Drosophila melanogaster: one gene and its partners. The gene in region 2 interacts genetically with the main gene of each other region. Each region holds a gene or a part of one and is shown on either strand. Other genes may lie near its edges.

Evidence for each region.
Region 1: of eRF1 (region 2) and shn, changing one suppresses a phenotype caused by changing the other (phenotypic suppression), as found in Drosophila melanogaster (one study listed by BioGRID).
Region 3: of eRF1 (region 2) and en, changing one suppresses a phenotype caused by changing the other (phenotypic suppression), as found in Drosophila melanogaster (one study listed by BioGRID).

Annotation. Positions count from the first base shown.
Region 1 is NT_033778.4:11,172,152-11,176,915, reverse strand, and holds the start of shn (schnurri), read right to left. Parts: upstream 3,114-4,764; 5' UTR 2,142-3,113; coding exon 2,111-2,141; intron 1-2,110.
Region 2 is NT_037436.4:20,346,583-20,354,475, reverse strand, and holds eRF1 (eukaryotic translation release factor 1), read right to left. Parts: upstream 6,122-7,893; 5' UTR 6,091-6,121; exon of another isoform or gene 5,535-6,090; 5' UTR 5,356-5,534; coding exon 5,270-5,355; intron 4,172-5,269; coding exon 3,996-4,171; intron 3,918-3,995; coding exon 3,448-3,917; intron 3,383-3,447; coding exon 3,227-3,382; intron 3,153-3,226; coding exon 2,955-3,152; intron 2,894-2,954; coding exon 2,746-2,893; intron 2,578-2,745; coding exon of another isoform or gene 2,498-2,577; exon of another isoform or gene 2,216-2,497; intron 1,670-2,215; coding exon of another isoform or gene 1,587-1,669; exon of another isoform or gene 1,349-1,586; intron 1,032-1,348; coding exon 922-1,031; 3' UTR 603-921; downstream 1-602. Other genes in the region: CG5618 (uncharacterized protein), read right to left, coding at 71-250; Rbbp5 (retinoblastoma binding protein 5), read left to right, coding at 6,567-6,585, 6,643-6,863, 6,918-7,124, 7,187-7,368, 7,422-7,541, 7,601-7,893.
Region 3 is NT_033778.4:11,523,481-11,530,271, reverse strand, and holds en (engrailed), read left to right. Parts: upstream 1-2,061; 5' UTR 2,062-2,601; coding exon 2,602-3,913; intron 3,914-5,046; coding exon 5,047-5,144; intron 5,145-5,424; coding exon 5,425-5,673; 3' UTR 5,674-6,266; downstream 6,267-6,791. UniProt on the Drosophila melanogaster protein: This protein specifies the body segmentation pattern. It is required for the development of the central nervous system. Transcriptional regulator that represses activated promoters. Wg signaling operates by inactivating the SGG repression of EN autoactivation.

The DNA of each region.
Region 1 (4,764 bases), on a different chromosome or scaffold from region 2:
GATTACGGCCAACTCGCTGGCAACGCAAAGGCAAAGTCAAAGACAAAGACAAAGCCAAAGCCAGCTTAAGTGTTTCGGCCCAGCTACCCAACCTCAAAGATCAAACTCAAACTCAAAACCCAAACCCATACCCATTCCTATTCCCATTCCCCCAACCATACTCAAACCCATACCCAAAGTCGTCTGCATACCAAAACCAAAACCCATCGGCAGCTGGAAGTCAAGTTGGAGCCAAACTCTTTGAGCATGTTGCGCCTGCTACAGTGGGTACTCCATGGAAGGACGACTTTCATGTTAAAGGTTTGATGATTTTGAAATATATTTAAGAAGTATTTCAAATAATCTCTCTCCAAGTTGCCAAGTATTTTCAATTGGTCATGGTTTACAAAACAAAATGGTTGAGTTAAAGTCTCAACAACATTGTTTAAAAAGTTAAGTTGTTATTATTGTTATTAAAACAATAATATTTCGAATATAAATATTTATAACATTTCAGCATAATTGGTTTAAAATGCTATAAAATAGTTTTAATATATTTATTTAAGAATGTTATATTTAATTACTGGTTTATTGTTTCAAAAGGCGAAATAAAACGCTCACGTTGTGACATATTAATTAAATCAAGTTCAATAAAAAAAAAGTGATTGATCGGATTGAATATATTCAATTACTGGTTGCCTAGTCGGTTTGGTTTTGAAATGAAAAGTAAATTCATTTAAAGCATTTAGCTGCAGCTGATGGAATGCGCACTGTATCCGCCCAGCGAGCAGTACTTGGCATATATCAAAAGCCAGGCAGCACACTTGTATCTCATTTGGCAAAAGTATCTGCGGATGTCGCGGGTTGGGGCGGGCACAAGAAAGTATCTGGCTTTTTAATAGGTTCAAATTGTGGCATGAGTAACGCAGCGCACAGAGCAACTTGACTAACAGGCGGCGTGACGTGACGCAAAGTATCTCGGCTATAGCGATTGTGGATGTGCAAGTCGAGTATCTGTGACTGTGCGCCTTTTGTATCTGTATCTTTGTATCTGCGTATCTGTGAGCTAGGCTGCCTGTTGAGCGGGTGAGCTGCGCCAAAAGTTCATGACGCTGGCTGAGCTTGATTTTCAGACCATTTTACATGGGGCAATTCCGATTGCGACTGGCTGGCAAACAAGCTGCCTTGTTTGCGTCTGTTTTTACGTTTTTTTTTTCTTCTGTTTTTCAGCTTCTCTGCTTTTCACCCGCTTTCTGTTTTCCTTTATTTCAGCTCTCTGTTTTTCCCCCTTTCTTTTGCCCATTTCGTTTGTGTTTTTGTTTTGTTTGCCGCTGCCCTGTGAGTGTGCGTTTGTTTGTGTGCCTGTTTGTTTGTTTGCCTTTTGTGTGCGCTGGGGGATTACGTAAGGGAATCCCCAACATTTTGCAGCGCGCGCGCCAACGCAACTGAATTAAAATGATAAGGGGACTGTGGGTGGTTGGGCGTGGGCGCAATGCAATGAAAAGTGACTACTGACGCTGTTGTTTCATGTTTTATGCATGCCCTCCCTCTCTTTGCTCTCGCCCCGTCCCTCTCTCTCTCTCTCTCTCTTGCGAGTGGAGCACTCATGGCACACAAATAATAATGCAAAAAAATATATATCTTATAGATACAGCCAGAGGTTTCGAGTGGGGGCGTGGCTGAATACTACATACATTCTTAATTACATATTTTTCCCTTTGAGCCGCCAAGAAAAAATCACTGCACTTGACGAGATTCTTTGAAGCTCTGAAGCAAGGACTTACTGTCTTGCCATATGGCAGCTGTGAAACTCGTCGTCCTTGAGCTGAAGCCCAATTTTTTTAAGACCGCTGGAGTTCTTTTAATAATCAACAAACTACTTGGAGTGAATTTGTTATCAAGAACAAAGCAGTCAAAGTTCGATCTTATAATAGAACCACTAAATATAAAGATTCCAAAGAAAAGTCAGCATAGAAATTGTGGATATTGGGTCCCTTTTCCTTGTAAACACTTTATGGAAACGTTTGCAAAATAGCTTAAAATCCTTGAGAAGAGGCAATTTCCCGGAATTTCGCTGGCATATTTTCGAACTCACGCTTGATTTGAATAATTAACAGGAAAATGTACTTACTGCCTCGACCGCTGCCCTTGCGTCGCGCCATTTTCCCTGCTTCAAAGTTGGTGTCCCGTTTTGGCGCTGTCCGCTGTCCGCTGTCCCGTTGTCCTTTTGCACAGAACAATACTGCTGGAAATTAGGATCCTTGCGCTTGACTGATGTATATTTAATCAGAGGCCGCCTACCCGCTGGCACGCCCACTTGCGACACTGGTTCTGGTCTGTTTGTATGGCACAACAGCAACAAAGCTTGTACGTGTGTCGACGTCCTTGACGCACACAATGACAAGCGTCCTTGTTTGTCTGAGCGTATGAGCGCGCGCGTGTGTGTGTGTTTGTGTGTGTAAGCGAGTGTATGGGTGTGTGTGTGTGTGGCCTGGTTCCCGGTTCGCTGGTATTTGCCAACTAGACAAATAGAGGAGCCATGATGTCCAAGTCCCTGGTATTATCCTGATATGCCGCTTGCCTGTCGACCTGGTGGAGATTGCAACCCGCTGGCTGGCATCGCTGCTATCCTGCCCAAGTCTCAGTATCCTTGGTTGCTGTAATTGTGCTATATAAATCCATGTAGGCGTATCCTCTGCTCGCTGTGTAAAAAAAACCTCAATTCGGAAATGTTCGGTTTGATATGCCGTTCCTTATTTTTGTTGTGGTAGGTTTTGTTTGATTTGTATTACTTTTGACAGACCCTGCGTATACGCAATATTCGCAACTAAATCGCGCGCGCCGCGAATTCTTTCAGTTTTATGTGCTGCGTGTGTGTATGTATGTACACTCCTTATCAACACTGTTTCATCCGAGGGCCTCACTTTATTTCATATATATTATATATCTCTTTCGAAATATGCGCTATATGGCTGTTGCGGAATCTATTAATAAAACGGACATGTTATTCACCATGCGTTGCGATTTGACTTGATTTGATTTCGTTGCTGGCTTTTTTGCGCATTTACCGAGAAGTGCGAGAAGCGCGCGAAAACGAGAGGCGTGCGTCGACGTCGGCGTTCACGGACAAACAGAGCCAGCGAGAATCCGTTAGGCCCCCAAAAGCCAAAGCCAAAGCCAAAAGCCCGAACGCCAAGAGCACACCCAAAGTGAGCTCTCTTTTGGCGCACAAATGAGAGAGCCAAAGAGCGACGTAAGTGGCTTTCAATTCGACCAGCCGTTTCGTTTCAATCGAAAATCGCCTTTCAACTTGTCTGTTTACCTTTTTTCTTTTCCCACTCACAGAGCAGCGAAGAGAGTTCGCTAAGAGAGTCGCCTTATCAGTATTGTGTGTGTGTGTGTGTGTCCAAAGCTTAAATGCCAATAGCAGGAGCTCCAGATGATAAGCGTTATTTACTTGGCTTACCTGCGCTGTGATAATACCTGGGTTGTCTGTTTTATCAGTTTGCTAATTTACATTTTTAAGATTATCCACACAATTGATAAAAAGGTAATACTTTTCTAAGCCTAAATGTATGCAATATCAAAAAACAACATGGTGCTTCAGTGGAAAAGCATTGATTTAGGCGATTTGATAAATTAATTATAAGGAGTTGCTAAAAATATAAACATGTCATTATAATATATTTTAATAATCATAAACTTGGTGGGACGAACACACAAACCTTATAAACTAGCTGCTGCAACTCGCAGCGAAAATAACGAAGATAAACATTTAATTCATGGTTTAAAAATTATTCTAAATTATAGATGAAGTTTGATTCTAAGATATGTACTCTGTTGAAACACATTTTAATTACTGCACATAGAATCGTATCCATTCCAATGATAGTAATGTTTCGACTTAATTTAATATTCATATGCATAAAAATAGCAAATTCGATGAATTAAATGAAGACGTTTAAATGAAGGCGTCCTATTCTTTGATACAGCCATTAATGTTTCCGATTCATTTAAGGCAGACACTTTGGGCCCAGTCGAAAGCTGTTCGAGCCGCAACGCCTCGTAACGCCTGGTGTCGAAAGGCTGAAATAATGCGGCTTCAAAGGAAATTAAGTGCTGGCGAAAATATGTACATATGTGAAGAAAAGAAGAACATATCGCAGAACATTGGCGATGGCGATGTCAAGTGGATGGGATTTTGGCTGACAGCTGTGAGAATTCCCAGCCAAAGTGACAAGTAAAAGGCGTGGCCTTGAGCCTCATTTGCCAGCCCCAAAACGCCAACGGCCGCCCTTCAATTTAAATTCATATGGGAAGATATACGATGTTTGGCCTAAACGACTTTCAATAAATGTGGTTTGTTTCTTTTAAGAATTTTCACAAATCATTGATATTTATTAGAGCCGCACGCGTGACCACCCTAATCACATCACTCATCCTTATGTTCAGAGTTAACCCCCCTGCACCCCCCCCCCCCTGTGTTATACTATGCTCCATCGTCAATGAAAACGAATATATGTACTATGTTCGAACAGCTGTTCTTTGTTTACAATTGGCGCAGGCGCCCAATTGGAAATTGTTCGTGTGCGTGTGTATGTTCGCCCGGCTAGAAGGCCTTCCAGTTCCAGTGCGAAAGCAGTTCGAAACTGGAAGCTGGAAGGAGGGGAAATTCGTGGTGCCGAACACTTTGGCGCCAAATGAAAAACGTCCGTCGGAATTTCACTTGCAGTCGGAAAATAACAGAGCGCGTGAAAGGATCACAGTGCGGATCAAACAGACCGG
Region 2 (7,893 bases):
CAGTTCTCTGTTATCTCTGGTTATCTCCACATCGGCAGACGCCGAATCGTCTATCACTTGCTCCACTCACCTTAAGTTTGTCTGGCTGCAAAAAGGGGACTATCTTCTGCTTGTCCCATTTCTGGGGATCCACGCAGAAGGTATCCTCCTTCCGGAGAAGGTGGAATACGTTCTCCAGGATCTTCCAGTCGTCCATGAGGCCATCGCGAATCTGGTCAACAGTCTCTGCTCCATCCACTGATTCAGCCATACTACACTCGGTCGGTAGAAGTTTCCGTATCTCAATTGGCCAGTAAAAGGCTGATTATTTTTGGCTTTCGAGATCCGAACCTCTTCCGTCGACGATTCAATCAGAAGTGCCCCGTCCGACTGCAGCAGATTGTGTTTTAATGTTATCTTGATCAAATTCTCATCAAGTTGTAAACCCTCGTCTTCGCTCGCACTCAAATGGAAATACAAATGATCGGGGCTGTAAGAACACACATACACCTCCACGCTTGTGCTCTTTAGAGTGAACCTCGTTTTATTACGAAAGCGAAATAAAAGTGATATTAAAGTCGTGCATATTTAGGTTACTTAAACATACAATATATATCAATTAAGCACGTGCCTTATTAGCTGATTCGGCTTATCTCGTAACCAAAATCCTGCACAATTCGTTTTCTTTTCATCTCGACGCATTATCGTCAAATTCAATCGAAATTTGCATATTTACCCTATCGATTAAACAAGTTTCATGTGCATGCCACCAGAAAACTTGGTCAACTAATTGGATGCCCAACACCGCAGAACTTAGCTGAGCTTACTTTTTGGAAGTCTCGCTGCAATGATTACTTACAAATATTCAAACGAGTACGGATACCTGCACGACACTGCGGCTCAGAAACGAGTTTCAGCTCACCAGATGTATCTGAGCGATTCTTAGATGCAAATCAAGGGCGAAACAAGTACTACGAGTGCTTTTTGCTGTCGTCCACGTGCATTGCCAACTAATGAAGTGGGAATCTCGCAGTAAACTGTTTCCAGTGTGCCTGCAAATAGAAAGTAGAAAATGAAATGCCCATTTCACTTTACTTTCATTGCTGTACTGGTAGTACTCCAAGTGGCTACCAGCATTTTACTTATCCAGCAGATAGCAGAGTCGGAATTTTATCAGCTTTCGGTGCAAATTTCGTTTTCAAGCTATAATAGAACGATTAAAACTCACAGATACAATTCTCCTTGTACCCAAAAACTTTAGGAAACGTGGCGTATTGTCAATGTAGATTTAGATTTAGATTTATAGAGGAACAATTAATTATATAACAAGAGCTCTAGTCCCTCGAAAATATATTCAAATTGCAAATTTGTTCACGTAAAACGGTTGCATTTTAATATGTTTTCCTCGATTTAACATTTTATCGTTTGTATCTATATGCATTATTTAAAATTTTACTTTTTTCGCCAACAACGTAAAAATGGAAGAAGGTTTGTGTTTTCTCATATTATTTAAATATTCTATTTGATTTCCTGGATTCATATAGTTGTAGTTGCAGTTCAGTTTGCGGTCGAACGTAGTGGCAAATTCATTTCTACAGATACATTTCCTAGTAATCATCTAGATCGAAGCCATCATTGTCCAATTCATCGAGCTGCATACTCTGGAAATCCACCTTGTAGCGTAAGATACCTGCAGAGGCACACCCAGCAATTGAATTAAATTAAAATAAGAAACAAAAAAAAAAAAAAAATAGAAGAACAGAAGCTGATTGAAAATTGAAAAATAAATGAAGAGGAAAAAACAAAAGGATCAACACACAGGATAGTTCAACCGAAACTCAGATTCTCACCTCCTTTGTATCCACATTTAACTTTTCATACACTAAATAAAATATTTGTTGTACTTCGCGACTGAATATAAACGGATACCCCATCCTCATTGTGTGGTGTTTTTATTCTGGTTTAATTTTTATTACAATTTTATGGATTAGATTTGTATACTTTCTTATAACACTCGGCTATAATTTGAATAGGGGAAATGCAGATACGTTCGAAAGTGGCATGTGGCAGTTAACCGAAGATCTTTTGCTCCTAATACCGCAGTCGAAATCGAACCAGATGAACGGAGAATGCGCTAATATCTATCGCATCGCTTTTACATGACCATTGAAATACAAATTACGAATTACGAGTACGAAATACGAATTTAATATGCTGCTTAAAAGTACGCGATTCCGCCTGGTGCACGACTAATTAAAAAATTTGGTAAAACGTATAGGTACATATCTAGATGCACGCTGATCTGATCGACAAGGGAATGCACCATCCGACTGATGAGAGGGACCCTATTGGTGATAAATATTGAACGGCTACGCTGAACATAGGTAAAACTATGTGGCAAGTAAATTGGTTCCTAATCAATTTGAACGTTTTGCTTTACGAGGTTTCCCAAAAAGTACTGGTTTATTATGTATGTAACGCATAATCGAGACCCATTCGCAGCCCACCCTTAACAGGCTTAATAGTCATCGAGATCGACATCCTCCAGCGGCTCATCGGCCTGTAGGGATTGGAAATCTACTTTATAGCGCAAAATGCCTACATATCGAATTGAGGTACCAGTTTGCAAATTAACATTTACATTATAGCGTTGACGACCGTGTGAAAGCAGCATGAGGGAAGAGGAATGGATATAGTTGCAGCATTTGTTTAGTACATAACCAATCTACAACTAGCCAGCCGTGCTGTTTGGCCGCTCAAACTTACCGCCGATTCCACCGAAACCTCGCACGAACTGACTTCCTTCCTGGGACTTATCCGTGATAATCTCCAGTGTGGCGCCGAACATTTTGTAGTTGTTTGCCAGCCATTCCAGCAGCGGCTGAGACTCAATCAGCTCCATTTCTACCCCGCTCTATACGATTGAATTCCCAGTTAGCGTGCGGATTAGTATCATTACTCAGTTTAGCTCTCACCTCCTTGTCAGTGAAGTGCGACTTGTCCTTTTCCTGCTCGGGCGTCAAATGTAATACTGTCGTTGACGTCGAGTTGGCATGATTCTTGAGAACATAACGTTGAATATCCAGGTTCTCCCAACAAATGAGAGTCTCTACAGAGCCAAGTTCCAGTGCCCGCAAAGTGTCCTCCACTCCAAAACAGTATTTGCCAGTATCCTTTTAAATATAGAAAGCATACGGATGTGGTTTTTAATTTCGAAATGCCTCAGAACTCGTATCCGGCAACTCACCTGAGAAATTTCATCAAAGTAGCGACCAATGAGTTTCTTCTCCTGTATGAATTTAACGTTCTGCAATGATTCGGCCGCCAGTTCAATGGCCTGGTTAAAACCGTTTTCCCCACCATACGACACGTCCACCAGCTTGATGACTTTTGATTGCAAACGCTGAAAAAAGATTCAAGTGTAAGGCTTAATATGGCATCGATGGAAATAGGTTAACTCCCACTTACAGGATCGAACATATCAGACTGACTAAGCTCAGTCTTGAAATCCGCACTACCAGCCAGGATGAGTCCGGCAATGTTGGGCTTGTCGTTCGTGATGAAGAGCTGGGTGGCCACCTCGGCGACCTTCCGCACGTAGTTGTGGCGCTTCTCCATACGCAGACGGGCGAAACGAAGGGCGGACTGACCACCACGACCGTGCTTCTTCGGCAGATCGACGGTGAACTTGTGGAGCACCTCGCGCGTGTTGCCCTGAAGGGTACCGAATAGCGCTCCGTTACCATCCATCACGATGAATCCAAATTTGTTGTCGTCGGCGAGCAGGGCAGTGAGGGCCTCCGTGTGGAACTTGTTGTCGCAGAGGTAGAGCGACGTGTTTATGGGCTTGAATGGCTCAAAGTCTATGTTCACCTTCTTCTCCTTGCCCTCCTCTGTGACTATTGTGCCGCAGTAGATGACCAAACCGTTGGGAGGCACTGAATTGAAGCGGTTGGTGATACGGTTTAGAGTTCGTTTGTTCGATTGTTTATGAACAATTTCTTAGCTCAGCTTACCTTTGGTGTATAATTTGAGTCTGTGCTGTACCGACGTAATGGCACCGAGGACGGACAACCGATTTACACGCGACTTGATGTTCGACGCCGTTCCAAACTCATCGGCCAACATCTTGCTGACGCGCGAGATTTGATCCTTTGGCGGAATAATCAAAGAAATCATGCTGGTTCCATTGCTGCAAGAAACCCAAACAAGGGAGAACATAAGTCGCGGAAATGGCTCTTTCTCCCATAGCAACAGTGCTATTCAATCGTATATTTGCGCGTCAGATGCACATAATAGCAACCTACTTTAAAGTTATTTAATTAGCCGTGAAATTTCGTGGCATATGTCTTTTAAACTTGACATTCGGTTATTGGACTAAATTTAAACTTTGATTAATTTATTGAAACAAATACGTTTCTGTAACTTCCAAACGTTTGTTTCTCTGATGCAAATCATTTTCTCGTTCGTTATAATACAGAGGAGTGCCAATCGTAATTTGTACAAAATGTTGGAATGCAAAATACAACAAAAAATAGCACAGAACTTAAAAAAAGAAAAACAAATACATATGTGTGTATATATTTCGCATATGGCTGAAAACCAATAGGAAGATATCTGTCAAAGCGAATCCCAATTGGCAACAGTGGCCAACTCCAATTGGAAGAGGTGTAATGTTAGCTCCAATTGTGGAGCATATTGACAACAATATACATATATATGTATATACATAGCAGATATGCTCCTGTGGGGGTCACTCGATTTGCTGACCTTGTTACCCACTCTAAAGCGGTGTGAAGCGGTAAGGACCGGGTCAAGGGAGTGAGCGAGGCAGGATGAGTGAGAGCGAGGGGTCCACAAAGCTTGGCCCATTTTGGGGGAAAAACACACACACACATGCACGCATACGCACAACAGCCACGAGGCGATTACTCACTCACTCACTCACTCCTCTCTCTCTCTCTCTCTCTCCGTCTCTCAATCAGTCTAGTTTGAACTGATAAAAACTCGACAAAAACGTGTTGCTCGTATGCAAAAAAGAGAGATAGAGTGAGGCGGGGGATCTTGCCAAGATTGGAAACAATGCAAAGGAGATTCACACGGCGACAACAAGGAAAGGTGGTTGTACTCGCCGCTCCCTCAAGTCCCCACCCACACCCACGTCCAGTACGCCCACTTCCACCCCAGTGTTGTTGTTTTCGTGCCATGCATTGTGTATACCCCACACACGTACGCAAAACAGTCGTTGGGGGGGACGTTAAAGGACATGTATATCATTGATAAGACTCACCCGCGGGCCATTTCCAGGCTCTTGATGAGCTTCTTGATTTTCCAGATCTCGACATTGCGATCGGCAGACGTTTCCTCGCCAGACATTTTGCTCGTTGCTTCTTTTATTTACCCTTCCTCTCACAGAGAGCGTGCCTACGTGCGAGTATATGTGTGTGTGTGGGATGGGGATTAAGAATTTGGGCTCCTGAATCCTTCGCTAAGATCCTCTGATGGTCGTATTCACATACACGTTCTTCCTTTTAACGTGGCTGGCGATGAATACACTGCAACGATTAAAAACGTTTTAAAGTATTCATTTACACATGCACACAGAGTAAATAGGCTGGGAGGGGGGAAGTTAAGAAGGGGAGTGGAGTGGAAAGCACAAGCAGAGCGCGAACACCGTAATTCGCCCTCGCTCTCTCTCGTTCTCTCGCTGTCAAACTGGAAAGCTGGAAAACCTCGATTCGAATTTGAAAAACAATTCGAAACCAAATGTTATTTTGGCATGAAAGGCCCGCACTTTTGTTGTGAACGAAATTCGAAACTGGGTTATTTCATTATTACACTCTAACCGTTAAGCTTTCGAAGGGAGTGACCGAGAGAGGGCAAGCAAAAAATTGGCAACGAAAGCGGGAGCGAGCGAGAGAGGGCGAGTGCTCCAAAGGTGACGTTGACACAATCGCGTGCCACGGACGAAACGTCTCCGAAATGGCTTAATTCGAAACTTCTGCCTTCTCCAATTAGAGCGCTTATTATGATGCTCGCTGTCTGCGTGCAATTTCACAATCCGGACTTGGTTACAATTGGCGAATACATCTGCATAAATTTTTCTCATACAACGTGCACAGAGCTCAAAAAATAGGGGTGGCAAATCTCCGATGACATTATCGATATCTTAAAATATCGAAGAAACGTCGAGACAATCGCTTGCGCCAGACATAACACTATCGCATCTAACGCTCATAAATTAGTGGGGAACTTGAATTAAGATATAACTAATGCAGTTTAAAATTTACTTACGCTTCACCAAATTTATCTATTTTATATGTTTAACTATTTCAATATTTAATTTCACCTCTAAAATTAACTAAACTTATTCTATTAATAAAACCACAAAAAACACCAACGTAGATACGTAGATTTTTAAATTCGTATTATAATATAATAATTGATGTTCAGTAGTTGTACAGAATATAACCTTAACTATCGAAAAACTCGTCTTCTGTTATGCTTATCATTTATAACATAATATGTTATTGCCGTTCGGTGTGAGTGTCAGTTGCCATTTTAAAAGAAGAAGATAGTAAACAAAAATGAATTTGGAGCTACTAGGTGAGATTGCCGCCCATTTTTTATGCTTATGTAGTAAATAACTCCAGCTTTATTAAGAATCTTTCGGACAAAACTACCCAGAGGAGTTCGACGGCTCGCTGGATTGCATTTCGTTGGCCGTGACGTGTGCCTTTAACAAATACGGAACCCTTTTGGCCGTGGGATGCAATGATGGCCGCATTGTAATCTGGGATTTTCTGACGAGGGGCATTGCCAAGATTATTTCGGCCCATGTGCATCCCGTTTGCAGTCTCAGTTGGACCAGGAATGGTCACAAGGTAGGCCCTCGCTCGCCGTACACCTGATCATCTACATTTTCCAATCCACTCCAGTTACTTTCAGCTTCCACGGACAACAATGTGTGCATTTGGGATGTGCTAACCGGCGAACTGGAACACAAGTATAGGTTTCCATCGCCTGTGCTGAAAGTACAGTTCGATCCCCGAAATGACAACCGACTTTTGGTGTGCCCCATGCGATATGCCGCCGTTCTTGTAGAGGTCGGCGGAACTCACCGCTGCCTGCCCTTGGATTCCGATGTGAGTTTGCACATTGCTTTTTCGCAGCTTGATTGTTAATTGAAATCCTTGTTTCTCACCAGGGCGACTTGAACATCGTGGCTTCTTTCGATCGCAGAGGCAAACACATCTACACAGGCAACGCCAAGGGAAAAATACTCGTACTGGATGTTGAAACCTTTGAGGTGGTCGCCAGTTTTCGCATTATTGTAGGCACCTCAAGTGCAACGGCTGTAAAAAGCATCGAGTTTGCGAGGCGTGGAGAGTGGGTACTAATAAGTAATCGGGATTTCATAACGTAACAAATTTATCTTTCAGCGCATTTCTAATCAACACCTCAGATCGAGTTATTCGTGTTTACGACTCAAAAGAAATAATCACTCTAGGCAAAGACGGCGAACCGGAACCTATACAAAAGCTACAGGACTTGGTCAATAAGTATGTTATGAAACAAACCCTTGATAACCATTTGATTGACCAATATCAATTCCATCTAGAACCACCTGGAAAAAGTGCTGCTTCTCCGGTGATGGGGAGTACATTTGCGCTGGCAGTGCTCGCCAGCATGCTCTTTACATATGGGAAAAGTCTATTGGAAACCTGGTGAAGATCCTGCATGGCACCAAGGGTGAGCTGCTCTTGGACGTGGTGTGGCATCCTGTGCGGCCTATTATTGCCAGCATTAGCTCCGGACTGGTATCCATTTGGGCCCAAAATCAAGTGGAAAACTGGTCTGCCTTTGCACCAGATTTCAAGGAATTAGACGAAAACGTAGAGTACGAAGAGCGGG
Region 3 (6,791 bases), on a different chromosome or scaffold from region 2:
ATGATCGCACATATAAATCTACCGACATTAAAATGAAAATTTTCATGCAGCGTAATGTGTTTCTTTGGTATGTTTTGGCACCCTGACAAGTTCGTTGTTTGAGTCTTTTGTTTGGCCGGCAGCTACGAAGCTGAGAAAAAGCCATTAGAGATCGAAAAGTAACCGAAACAGAAATAGAAACAGAAACAGTAGCCGAAGTGGTGGAAAGCCAAAGCTCATTAGCAGTTACCATTTTATCCAAACAGACGCATCATTATCATTAAGGGCAAACGGGAAAGCAGCAAAAGCAGCCACAGCAACAATAGCAACCACAGCAGCAGCATCAGAAACAAGTTGAAAACTTTAATTAACGCATTTTTACGCAACTGTCGGCAGCAGTTTAACCCTTTTCGTGGCCAAATGCTGAGCAAACACGACAACGGTAATAATTGAAAATCATGGCAATCAAAGCGGAAAGTGTGTAGGGGAATGGAACGGTGTGGAAGGGTGGAAGTTGAGCGGAAAATCAACAGCTGCCGACGGCAACAGCGGAATGTGTAAGAGGAAGATGGTCAAAGGGGGTGTGCGAGAGAGAGGCAGCAGCCATTGTTGTCATGCGTGAGAGAGCAGGGCAGAGTGAGCGAGAAGCGCACAGTGCGAGAGCGAGTGAGACAACTATCTATTCGAAGTTCGAAATTCAAAAGGGGAAATAGATTTGGCTCCGTTCCAGTTTCCAGTTTTTCCAACTTCGACTTTTAATGGCTGACCGCAGACTGGAAGGTGCGTTCGAACCGGTTAAGATCGAATCGAAACGGTTAAGACCACTCAACGGAATTTCAATTTATGCATCTGAGCTGTTCAAATATATTTATTAATTTATATTCGATTCAAGTCCATTTGATACTTATAAAAATGCGCATAAAAATTGAATAAATTTCGGCCCATTGATTGTGGAACAGGTTAACCACGAAATTTGCTCTAAATATGGATTATGGCTTATTGTTTGGGCGTTAGTTTGTTGGCGCGAATTGCTTATGTCACAATTGGCAACAGGAAATGTGGGAGTGTGAGTGGTGGCGAGATTACTCTCTAATTAAATCCTTTGCCCCATAAATCAGTAGCCCACATGGCAACGATCGCTTTTATTATGCAAAAATTAACACAACAAAATCTGCTAGCTATAAGGCAATTCATTAGCGATTTCGTTATTTGATTTCGGTTTTATTCACATCGAACAGATTCGTTGATTTATGAGCTATATATCAGTGGTTATATGTTCGGAATCCCACATCTATACACTATTTGCAGCACATGTTTCACATTTGTAGATCGTCGGTTGATTAGAGCCCCACAAAAAAGCGTTATTGTTAATGTCCAATGCCAAATGGCGTTCGTTTTTAACACCTTCTAAGGTTTATTTTGACAGTTAGCGATGGTTTTTCATTCGCTCGTCTGGCAAATCGATATTCGATGGGCAAATAAATAAATTAAATGTCAATTAAATATCAATCAATTTCGTCAGCTGTTTTTCAAGGCACATTTAACTGGTTAATTGAAGGCCTCAAAAATAAATTGTCATCGTGTATTTAGCGTATTTTTGTGAAAAATCGCAAATGATACTGGTGGTGGGAGTGGGGGTGATAAAAAGTTTCCCTTCATTTAAATTAAAACAATTAGCTTTGCGGTTTTTTTCCTCTCTTTCGATTCCCCCTCTACACATGGCCTAAAGGTGGTGTCGATAAAGTTGTAGGCTGTAGAAAACGCAGATTGAAACGTCGCGGCCGAAAACAAAATCAACAAAAACTAAATGCTTATGAAAAGTGTCTGTGGAAAGAGATGGCATGTGGCTCTCCCCCTCATGGAAAGGCAGCCATTTTCCTGGCCTACTCGCAGAGGGAGTGAACAGTGCCGCTATATGACCCCCACTCGGTAACGCCCCGTGAGAGAGGGAGAGCTTGCGCCTGCGCAGTTCGCTGGGGACACAGTTGTCAACCGGCTGACAGCTCCAGCATGCGCATAATAAAGTCATATTGCTGCCTAACAAGCCCCCCTCGCCAAATTGGCAAGAGAGAGTGAGAGCGAGAGGGAGCGAGCGAGAGAGCGCTCTGGCCAGCTAATAGGAGTGAGTGAGCCGGCGAAACCGGTTCGCATGGGGCAGGTGACAAGGCTAAGAGAGAGCGAAAATCGATCAGTGTAAGGCCGAAAAGACACATCTTCTACTCTCATCTCTTCATGTCACTGTCACCAACTGCTGTCACTCACTCACTCGCTCGCTCGCACACACTTCGCCAGCTACTTGTGGGATCTCGCCCTCTCGCTCCCGCACTCGGACCTCTCTTTCCACCGTGACAGTTCAATCGGCTCTCGCGTTAACTCTCCCCGACGTCGGCGCTGCGATTCCGAAGTAGTCAACTAATTCAGTCGTTGCGCTCGATGTGAACAGACGTGCGTGTCGGAACAACAGTTGCAAATCAAACACGAAAGCATAAGCCAAACAAAAAACACCAAACAGAGAAGAGAATCAGAAGATTCTGAGCAATCAGAAGAATCAGTGGCTCAGTGTCAAGTGACCCAGTGACAAGTGTCTTAAGCGAGTTGCGATTTAGCACCAAGTCGAAACCAATGGCCCTGGAGGATCGCTGCAGTCCACAGTCAGCGCCCAGCCCCATTACCCTACAAATGCAGCATCTTCACCACCAGCAACAGCAGCAGCAGCAACAGCAGCAGCAAATGCAGCACCTCCACCAGCTGCAGCAACTGCAGCAGTTGCACCAACAGCAACTGGCCGCCGGTGTCTTCCACCATCCGGCAATGGCCTTCGATGCCGCTGCAGCCGCCGCTGCTGCAGCTGCTGCTGCGGCCGCCCACGCTCATGCTGCTGCACTGCAGCAGCGCCTCAGTGGCAGTGGATCGCCCGCATCCTGCTCCACGCCCGCCTCGTCCACGCCGCTGACCATCAAGGAGGAGGAAAGCGACTCCGTGATCGGTGACATGAGTTTCCACAATCAGACGCACACCACCAACGAGGAGGAGGAGGCGGAGGAGGATGACGACATTGATGTGGATGTGGATGATACGTCGGCGGGCGGACGCCTGCCACCACCCGCCCACCAGCAGCAGTCGACGGCCAAGCCCTCGCTGGCCTTTTCCATCTCCAACATCCTGAGCGATCGTTTCGGAGATGTCCAGAAGCCGGGCAAGTCGATGGAGAACCAGGCCAGCATATTCCGCCCCTTCGAGGCGAGTCGTTCCCAGACTGCCACGCCCTCCGCCTTTACAAGAGTGGATCTGCTGGAGTTTAGCCGGCAACAGCAGGCTGCCGCCGCAGCCGCTACTGCGGCCATGATGCTGGAACGGGCCAACTTCCTTAACTGCTTCAATCCGGCTGCCTATCCCAGGATACACGAGGAAATCGTGCAGAGTCGGCTGCGCAGGAGTGCAGCCAATGCCGTCATCCCGCCGCCCATGAGCTCCAAGATGAGCGATGCCAATCCAGAGAAATCTGCTCTGGGATCCCTGTGCAAGGCGGTCTCGCAGATCGGACAACCTGCTGCCCCTACGATGACCCAACCTCCGCTGAGTAGCAGTGCCAGCAGCTTGGCCAGTCCGCCACCCGCCTCCAATGCCTCGACCATTAGCAGCACCTCTTCCGTGGCCACCAGCTCGAGCTCCTCCTCGTCGGGTTGCTCCTCGGCGGCCAGTTCCTTGAACTCCTCGCCCAGTAGCCGACTGGGAGCCAGTGGATCCGGAGTCAATGCCAGCAGTCCCCAGCCGCAGCCAATCCCGCCGCCATCCGCCGTTAGCCGAGATTCCGGAATGGAGTCCTCGGATGACACGCGTTCCGAGACGGGATCCACCACCACAGAGGGCGGCAAGAACGAGATGTGGCCCGCCTGGGTGTACTGCACCCGCTACAGCGATCGTCCCAGCTCAGGTTAGTATCTATGCGATTACCTAGCGTTTAAGTGGGTCAGAAAGAGGGTTCGTCGGGCACCATCTTCAGTGTTGTCAAAACAAGGAAGTCCCAAAGGTTCGTTAAAAAAAAAAAGATGTGAAAATGGTAAATGGTATATGGTTACATGGGGACCACCCTTGGGGAGCGTTATGTTGGCGGCAGCCTTTCAAGCAGCTCTGTTTTGTGTCATAAATCCGAAGGACACTGCCACAATTAGGCGACACGCGGACAATGGCAATGAGCCCGAATCTGACTCCCATTTCTATAACCATGCCCATTCCCATTCCCATTTCGTATCCGAATCCGAATCCGATTTTGGGCCTCACGCAGTGCTGCGCTGCTTTTGAAGAGCGACACTTTATGTGACAACATGTAGCGCAGAGCCAGCGCTTGTCTATCGGAACTGTTAGATCCTCAGGTCGAAGGTCACCGCTCACGCACACACGCCACGCAGAAGCCGAGACCCTAAAACGCGCTGACGATTGACAGGGGAAAAGTAGGTGCGGGGGAGATATGATGGCGGGGGAAGCCCCTTCGAAAGGAGAAGAGTTTTCCATTGACAAGCGGAGATTTTCCTTGCAGCTCTTCTTAGATCGTGTGTTAATTGACGAGTTAAGTGCTTTTTTATGGTCGGCAATGGTTTTTTAATTTGGTGTCGATGCAATCGATGGCAGCCCATAAGCGAGGCGTTGATGGCCCCACTCCGCGGCTAGGAATTAATCAAACGATCTCCACTTACTGGCGGTCAATTAAATTATAATTTACAATGTGTGGAAATCTAATAAGCACTACGGATTGCTGCGGTGCCGCGTTGCCAATTAGCCGGTGACTTGGACTTAGTCGCTAATTAGAGAGTTGGCTAGCTGGCAAATCATTTGCCTAAAATATGCCGTAGACCTTTGGGTTCGTTAACTCGCCGGAGTTCTACTCTTCTCTTGCGCTGACAGCTGACAAATTGAACACTTCCCCGCCAGCACGCGAAAGGGAGCTCCAGCTCCGGCCGAGGAATTCCGCCCAGACATATGCTAATTGAATCATTAATATTATTAATAGTATGTGGCGCATTTATGCAAATAGAACTAACGTATTTCTCGTGTTTTTGTTTATTCCAGGACCCCGCTACCGCCGCCCCAAACAGCCAAAGGACAAGACCAACGACGAGAAGCGTCCACGCACCGCGTTCTCCAGCGAGCAGTTGGCCCGCCTTAAGGTGAGATTCAGTTCTTTTTTCCATATATGGTTATATGGTTATACCAATATCCATCCATATCCATATCCAATTGCCCTACGCTTGTTGTGTCATATTTGCACCAAAATATTGACACCGCCCGCTGCTAATGCATCCTGGCAATGTGGTGTCCCGTCCGTACTTAACCAATCAGCCACGCTCGGCCGAAACCGCAAATAATTGATTTTCCCTACCTGACTATACAACATGGATATCCTTGCCATCCGAAACTCATCCAGCATTCCATTTCTTCCACTTACAGCGGGAGTTCAACGAGAATCGCTATCTGACCGAGCGGAGACGCCAGCAGCTGAGCAGCGAGTTGGGCCTGAACGAGGCGCAGATCAAGATCTGGTTCCAGAACAAGCGGGCCAAGATCAAGAAGTCGACGGGCTCCAAAAATCCGCTGGCACTGCAGCTGATGGCCCAGGGATTGTACAACCACACCACCGTGCCGCTGACCAAGGAGGAGGAGGAGCTCGAGATGCGCATGAACGGGCAGATCCCCTAAGCGCTGACCAATGGTTACCCATAAGGGGTTACTCCTTCTGACGGGGGCGTGCAATATTCGAGGGCGTACAAATGGTTTTCATGTGATATAATTGTAGCGTACATATGTTTTTGTATATATCTCTAAAAATATATATATATATACGTATAATCCTAACCTAGAGTAAGACCCATCCGTAGCGAATTCGAGCTGTAAGTTGTTGGCGTATTTATTTAACCACCCCTGGATAGCCGAAAGTATTATCGTAATCACCCGACACAAAGCCTATCGCTATCGCCGCACTTCAAAAGCTTCGACCTTCAGACGTTTATTCCTACACAAAACACTATCTATAGTTATTACTCCCTATAAATTACGCGCTTGCAACCGCTCTGTAAATTAAGTAACTTAACAGTTCCCTAGCTTAATTCCTAGTTTACACACTTAAGGATTGCTATGAAAGAGTATTTTAGTTTCTAAGCGAAATGTTAACGAGCAACTAATAGCTGGCAAATGCACCTAAGAAAATAACAACGAAATGTTTGTGCTAAAGCAAGTTCATGAAAAGAAAATTAAAAACAAAATAAAAGAATTATGGAAAAAAATTAAAATGCAATTGGTTTCCTCTGGGAATTGGAAGTCTGCTACATTAAAGGAAAATATGCCACCCATATATCGGAGGACATGCGGTCTAATCGGTGGCCTTATTTGTACTTTGTGTAGGGCGCCATTATCTTCTCTACGCTTTTTCATCTGTCACATCAAAGGCTATAGAACATTAAATCACGAACACTTGTCGTCGGGCGAGGGTGCCGCTAATTGCACAATCACATTCCGAACCAAAATCGGAGGCCGTCGACGAGTAACGGCAGCTCTTGCTCTTCGATTCCATTCCGTTTAATTAAAGCCAAATCCGCGCGTAGTATAAACAAATATCTGTGACGAGACAGAAGCCCAACAAACAGAAAGAAAAAAAAAAATGCAAAACTAAAGCGGCAGGGAGCAGTCATCAAATGATTTATTGGCACAGATCTCGCGGCGAGCGGCGTTAATTTGCTGAAAATAAATGCAAACGCGAAATGCAATGCAAAATTGTGGGAGGGGGCGGGATGAGCAGCTGACATTTACTGGCAAGCGTT